Bombyx mori: one gene and its partner. The protein of the gene in region 2 interacts with the protein of the main gene of each other region in a pairwise test. Links are inferred from orthologs where the notes say so. Each region holds a gene or a part of one and is shown on either strand. Other genes may lie near its edges. The genes, in order: probable DNA-directed RNA polymerases I and III subunit RPAC2 and DNA-directed RNA polymerases I and III subunit RPAC1.

Region 1 (3,939 bases), on a different chromosome or scaffold from region 2:
CTAAATGTTATTTAGAAACAAAAGATTAAAATGTTTCTTGTTTTAGATAGCATTTGTTGAGTGTGTGCAATTGATGTCATATTTTTTGGTTTTAAAATTGGAATATCATAAGCTATATCACAAGTTTCTTGTGAATGTTTGGCTGTTTGTTACTTATATGTGTACATATACTTACTATTTGTTTATAATACATTTTAATGAATTCCCTAATGTATGGCTTTCATTTCGGAAGACGTATGTTCTGCAGGTAGGCCCTGAATCGTCATCACCAGGAAGCTGAAATAACATGAATAAAACATTTCAATATCTTAAGAAGAAATTGTAAGTACCATGGTCGGTATAAGAACTTAGAACGTTTCTTTTAATTAGGTATTTTTATAATTATGGTAGAATAGTAATGATTTTAACAATTAGTTGTCTATAATTTTATACTATAAATTAAGATGCACAACTGAATGTTAGATTTTGTGTATTACTTATGTAGTGGCTTAGTTTATTAAATTAAAATAATTTTATTTATAACGTATTTATGCAGTACCTCAGAAATGTTCATTCTGTTACTTTTTACAATGACTGTTTGGGTAATATTATTTTTTAATTATTATGATCGGTATATACCGTATTCAATTCTGTTAGTTTTTGACAAAAAAACTAGTAGTAGTTTTATTTTTCCAATTGGAAAGGCAAAGATATCATACCATACAGCCTAACCATTTATTTATAATTTTTTTATATGAAAAATTATATTATGAAATGTAATCATATGAAATGAGATGAGATGATATGGAATGAAATATAATCTCAGTAAAATGGTGGTCATTTACTGAGACTTTCAGTGACTTTTTGGAGGATCCAGAGAAGTTACGTCCAGCGGCTTTATTTAATGTTCATGTGCACATTTGTGCACTTTCACAGATATTAAACTGTTAATAAACCACCATTATTACACATTTAAACCCGAAGAAACACTAAATAGACAAAATAAAACAAATTTATCTATCTCTTAGGTTTATGGCGTAAAACAAATCACACAACTTCAATCCTCGCGCTCCCGCCAAAAAGTCTTACAAACCAGTGTTGCCGCTGGGCAAACATTGGGTTGCCGTACTGGAGAAAAAAATCTACCGTATTTAAATAAAAATTGCCGTACAAAGTAATTCAAAATTTCAAATTTCAATTAAAAGTATTTTATTATTTATTTTATACTAGAAATTAAAACAGTATATATTTTTCACTCCTCTCTTCCCATCAAATTTGTATTATTGCCTAAAGTAAGTTCAGTTTCAATAATCTAATTTTTTTCGTAATTTGATGGTTTTTTCCTTTTATTATTCATTTCGGGGGTTGGCTTAAAGTTCGCACAGTTTGAATGCTTTCTGACAATGCACTGTTTTGGTAATAAAGTTCAATTTATGGTATATGTTAAGAGGCGGTTTCTTTGTTTTGTTTTGATTAGGTTTACTGCATTGAAGATTCTTTTTTATACACATTTTAATCACTATCTCACGTATCGCTACACTGCTCTTTTTCAAAAGTTAAAATTAAGCTACACTTGCTAGCACAAGCAATGAAACAAGAGCGAGGCGGCGAGGCGACTTGAGGAGAGGATTTAAAGAGCAGGCGTTGTAGATTATAGGGAATTCCTCGTACCAAACATGAAACATTGTCTATTATAAAAGTTGGATGTGTTCATGTTTACGCTAAAAGTATCCACGTTCTGTAATCTCTTTGGATACATTAATTGTTTTTTAACTTTATGCTCTTGTTAGCCGACTTAACCTAATAGGTGTATGGCACTAAAAAGGAATTAAAAAAAATGTTCTTGTTGCCGTATTTTAGAATACGGCAATGACCACTCTGCCGTATGCCGTACAATTTGTCTTTTAGAAGCGTGATTGCCGTACGAAACGGCAATTGCCGTACATTTGGCAACGCTGTTACAAACTTTACAAAATATCAAAAATGCTTTTTGTTATAGGATTTTATGACTTAGTAACTAAGACCTTTAGGTCAACATATAAAAAATGCACATTTAAACATGGATATTACACGGTTGTGATAATAATTAGTCACAACAGTTCATGTGACTATATTGTTATAACAGTTGTTATTTTTTATTTATTTTTTTATTGCCTTTGTAGGCAGACGAGCATATGGCCCACCTAATCGTAAGTGGTCACCGTCGCTCATGGACGTCAGCAATGTCAGGGGCAGAGCCATTCCGCTGCTTACCATTAAGTAATCTCCGCAAGCCTCGTTTGAAGAAGGACATATCATAGCGCTTAGAAAACACCGTGGAGGGGAGTTCATTCTAAAGTCGGATGGTATGTGGCAAAAAAAGAAAAAAACTTAATCCTACCTAAGAGAGACCATGTCAGGCTCACCGGACTATTAGGTGAGCTCACGGGGCTCAAACCTGACGATGTTGCTAACACGAACCCTGTCAAGATCCGTGCTTCACAGAATCTAACACCGGATCGGAAACGCGACCCACTGAGGAGATCCGGCGAGAAACTCTGTGGACTGTGTTTGTGAGTTAATTTACTCGCCGAGCCCTTCGTCGGAAGCGACGCCGACGGGTTCGACGAGAACGTTTGTAATATGCGCTCAAAACTATGATGTTACTGTTAAATTACCGATACGTTATTGAGTTTGGAGTAGGACTATATTGAAATGTACTTTAGATTATTCCTAGAATAATAGAATTATACATTTTATTTATAAAAGATAATTTACAAACATTTAAATGTTAATCAATGCTAAGTAAAATCATTCATTAACTTTCTTCCAGGAATTCTCGTTGGATTCAACATTTATAGTAGTTTAAAGTATAATTAAATCTACTTTTACGGCTTAATCTCGTTTTTTATTTAATGTTATTCTATTATCCCTGACGAGTCGAACACTTTACAGTTTTCATAATCGTGTATTTAGACGTCAGGCAAGTTATATAATGACAATAAAAAACACTAGATTAAATCGTAAAAGTAGTTTTATTTATGTCTTGACTCGTATGAAACAAAAAAAAATACTATAATTTAAACTACTATCTAGTGGCGTCTTTATTAATTAAAATTTTAATGTTTGCCACGTTAACAAAATATAAGACAGTATCAAGTCCTAAGCCCCGACCGCACCCTGCTTTCCTAAACATTTAATGAAGTGCTCATAACATCTAAAGTAATTTCGCTTTATATCCTTTGTCGCACATACATAGTAGAGTTTATCTCATCATTACTCCGAGAGGGTTCTCCGCTAGTAATCTTTCTTAGAGTAAATTAAACTTTGCGGGTTGCGGCCTCGATTATGTAGACGGCGTCACGTCGTTGGGCGTGTAACCCAGGTATATCGTAAATAATATGTACATACTTGGTTTTGTTTCGAGAATAAAACAATACTGTTGTTTAAGCTTAGAAATAGTCAAAATTAAAATGAGCGCAGCTTTCTCTATCCGCCGAACGAATGCGCGAATGAACGAATGTAAAATATTACCTACATAAGTAGGTATACAACAAATGATTTTGGTAAACTAATTTTAAAAAGTAAGTCTTTAATTTCGCCTTTTAGGGTTTTACCGAAACCCTAAACGTCGTGGCTTCGACCTCATTATCAATTTAATACCGGTACGCTGTGAATAGTGATACCTATATGAACTATATCCTGTCAGATTTTAATTTACATACATTTTAGGTGGTCGTGTTTGAGGTGCTATGAAATAGTACCACCAGCCGTGGTGTGCGTGTCATAAAAGGACGACTAAGGTGGTTACCGGAGATTGGGCAGAAGCATGGTCTGAGTAGTATACCAGCGTATTCTTCATATTCTTTTTGTTGCCTATGCTGATAGCCTTGAGAGGCTATTTCAGCTTCTCCTTGACGTGTACGTGAGTTCACGGGGCTCAAACCGAAGTGTTGCTAACAATGGTCCTAGGGCATTGCT
Region 2 (3,939 bases):
CTCCTTTAGAATCGATTTACATATATAGGCCCGGGGTATGAAAATTATGGGGACCAAAATCGTACTAGCATGTCACACGAAATGCGTTATGCGCCTGATTGGCTCCTGATTGCGTGATGCGTGCGCGCGCCAATCAGGAGCCAACGCGCGGCCGCGTTATCGCAGGTGACGCCGGGCTGCTGCGCCGGCAGTCCGCCACAAAGCCTCGTACTGATCGCGCGTTTCTCTCATTATTGTATTTTCATATATTTGTTAGTCGTTTGTTTTGTGTCTCGTTAATTTGTTAATAATCTGTAGTGTATCGTGTTGTCGTAATATAGAACTATTTCTCGTATTGTTTCGTTTAATTTTTTATATCCAGTAAACTCCAGTCGTGCGTCGGAGCGGACACACACACTTTTTTCATTTCTTTCTGTTTCGATTTACATAAAACAGACACGACTTCACTTACTGTAACAAAAATTAGGATTGTATGGTCTTTGATCCTTTTGCCCAGCGAGTTGTCAATTCAAACAAGTAAAAACCTCTATTTATTTTCCAATACGGTACGGTACCGTACCGTAAAATGGGGCGATTAGGGACAAATTCCAACTTTATGAGCAATTTTAAGGTAGTTGTTGATGTATATAATGCTATATCAGGATCAAAATGATTGAGTCTTGGGGGCATCTTTGTTGTCTAATTTAAAATTATGCAACTAGCATTCCAGTTTAAGCAAAAAATGCAAAAATAGGTGTAATCTCTATTTACCCGAAAATTGCGGTTAATTGGGATGTAATGAGAAATTTGCTAGGGTTGGCACTATTTTTATTTTTATATATAGTTTTAATTTATTTATTTATTTAGTTGCACCAACAAAGTGATCATCAATAAAAAAAAATGAAAAACTGACAAAAGTACATGGCAGACATCACCTCAATTATAGGTGCAATCGACAGTGCTGATATTTCTATCTGGGTTAAGAGATTAGGTGTGTCGGTTATTCCATGGATTAATCAGATGAATACCCCCACTCTGAACAAATATTAAATATTTTATTATGTATTACTTAGACATTTTTGTCCACCTTGAGATTTCATTGATCTTGTTACATGTCTCTGCAAAATCGACTTACTTATATTAAATTGCTTATCTATTTCAAATAAAGACTTATTCCCAATTTCGCTTCGAATAAACCAGATATTTACCAACAAATTCAAAAAATATTGTTATAACTACATAGACAACCCTACAAACCTGTACCTATTTATACTTAGGTCGTTTCCATTTCACGTATTCTCATCCCAATTGACCCCTTTTTCGTTGTTATTTGTACCTAAGACGTCCCCAATAACCCCAAAAACAACAGATTTTTACATGTATTTTTATTTAATCAAATACATTAAAAGCAATAACAACTGAGACTTACCTTTAATATATATGCTGGTTCAAACACTAAATAACGTTTATAAATCATAGTCGTCTTCTATTATTATCAAATAAATAAAAGAGAGCAAAGTTTCTAGCACTAAAATAATGACCACCACAGGAAGTTAATTTGAAACGCGATTTTTTATAAGTTAGCAGCTATTATCATGCATATTCAGAGTTGTTTTGTGAACTTTCAACATTCTACTATTAAACTACAAAAAATGGAAGATTTTGCAACGAATATAAAACTTATATTGAGCGTCGAAAGATTTTCCCGGTTTTTTCCCGATTCGCCTGTCAATCCCTAATCGCCCCATTTTACCGGTACCGTACCTATGTACCTACATAAGTACAAACTTACATTACTTACTACATAGTCAAAGTTTAAATTACCTACTAAAAATTACTTAAAATCACTACTTAAGTGTATAATCTATGATCACTACCTTACGTAAAATCATCGAAATATTTAATTTTGTCAATTATATCTGTATAAAAATATGCGACAAACTTTATATACAGTAAACGTTACTGTATACCTGTGAAATAAGATAAAACCTTATTTACATTAATTAGTAAAATATTGCAAAAATGCCTAAATTCGATGAAAAACCCCGAGTTTTTCTTGAAGAATTCCGTGTTAAGGTTCTCCTTTAAATTGCAAGACTTATTTACAACGATAAAAATGCACATGATCATAACCTAATAATTTTTGCCCGTACAGAATGCACCCGAAGATTACGGATTAGACGATGAAACATGGGACTTCAAAAAGTTTGTGAAGAAGTTTAAGATAGTTGTAGTACGAATGGACAATTTCGAAATGGAATTTGACTTGATTGGGATCCAGCCAGCATTTGCGAACGCATTCCGGAGACTCATGTTAAGTGAAGTTCCTAGTATGGCTATTGAAAAAGTAATGATCAAGAACAACACTTCTATAATACAGGATGAAGTTTTAGCACACAGATTAGGATTGATTCCTCTCAAAGCTGATCCAAGATTGTTTGAATATAAATCTGAAGGTTTGTGTACAAATTATTACAAAGCCGAGACCATATGTGGGCATTCGTTTTGGAAGATGATTGTTTTCTGTGAAATTGGTTGTCTAATTATTTTTTATTTATCAATTACGTAAACTAGTACACTAATAAAACCACAAATATTCATTTTTCTAGTATCCTAAAATTGACAATTTAGAGCTGGAATGCAAGATGTTATTAAATACTCACTTTTATACCTCAATAAACATTTATATCTCATAATCAGTAAAGTTTTCACAGCCTAAAGGATAAGATGCCTGGTCCATTTTTATTATTGTAACTATGATGAAATAAAAAAAGTTAACAGAAAATAAAAGAATTGTTTGAGCAGCTCTTGTAAATAATTTGAAATTTTATTTTCAGAAGACACGGAAGGAACAGAATTCAACACTTTAGAATTTTCACTAAAAGTAAAATGTACCAATAGCAAGTCACAACCAAAAGATTCATATAGAGCTGAAGATTTGTATGAAAATCATAGTAGTGAGTTTTCTGTATATCAATATAATAATGTGTAACAAACAGCCTATTAATGTTTTTAATATAACAGTAGATCGCAGATCAGCATATGGCCCTGGTATTAAGCTTGCTGCAGTGCATAGATATAGGTGATTCACTCACATTAAGATATGGGATTGAAGTTTCCATTCCATAGCAAAACAGCTATCCTTACAAACTGGATTCCTTTGCAGTAGAAATGGACAAGATAAATTATGACTACCAATACCAAACTTATAGAATGTTACTGCCATTTTCTGGTAAATTTTTTAGCCACCTGTAACAACACCATGGTAAGATATAGAGTGGTATTGTTGTATGCTGATAGGACAGAACACAGAGCTGATTTTTTGAACTATGGACTAATCTATGAAATTTATATTTATAGTTTTTTTATATAATGCTAGATGATTTTGTTATTCTTAATACTTAGTTAATTACAAATATGTTTATACAGTTTATTCATCCCATATGAAGTGGCATCCAATTGGCAACCAAGCTACAGTTTATAAAGAAGCTGATGTGGGTCCTGTACATAAGGATATTCTTATATCAAAAATGAGACCTGGCCATGAAATAGACCTTCAAATGATTGCCGTGAAGGGCATAGGAAAGGATCATGCAAAATTTTCACCTGTTGGTTAGTCCCTTCTTATGAATATTTTATAAAATGAGATAAGCTTATTTTAATTATTAAAAAAAATGGTTTAACTAACATATCCATTTTATTCTACAGCAACAGCTACATACAGATTGCTGCCAGAGGTAACACTGACTCGTGAAGTTTGTGACAGTGAAGCCACACTGTTGCAGAGTTGTTTCTCACCAGGTGTTATTGGTATTGACTCTAAAAACCGAGCATATGTGAAAGATGCAAGATATGATGCATGTAGTCGTAATGTTTATAGATATGACACAATCAAAGATTCAGCAATCCTAAGTAGAGTTCGGGATCATTTCATATGTAAGTAGCCATATGTAAATTAAT

Evidence for each region.
Region 1: the proteins of DNA-directed RNA polymerases I and III subunit RPAC1 (region 2) and probable DNA-directed RNA polymerases I and III subunit RPAC2 interact in a two-hybrid assay, tested with the Drosophila melanogaster proteins (2 studies listed by BioGRID). The link is inferred for Bombyx mori from reciprocal best matches to the Drosophila melanogaster genes Polr1C and Polr1D.

The regions. Positions count from the first base shown.
Region 1 is NC_085119.1:4,439,402-4,443,340, forward strand, and holds the start of probable DNA-directed RNA polymerases I and III subunit RPAC2, read right to left. Parts: upstream 2,344-3,939; 5' UTR 554-2,343; coding exon 539-553; intron 277-538; coding exon 176-276; intron 1-175. UniProt on the Drosophila melanogaster protein: DNA-dependent RNA polymerase catalyzes the transcription of DNA into RNA using the four ribonucleoside triphosphates as substrates.
Region 2 is NC_085131.1:5,578,880-5,582,818, forward strand, and holds the start of DNA-directed RNA polymerases I and III subunit RPAC1, read left to right. Parts: upstream 1-1,403; 5' UTR 1,404-2,001; coding exon 2,002-2,055; intron 2,056-2,134; coding exon 2,135-2,435; intron 2,436-2,816; coding exon 2,817-2,936; intron 2,937-3,408; coding exon 3,409-3,591; intron 3,592-3,687; coding exon 3,688-3,915; intron 3,916-3,939.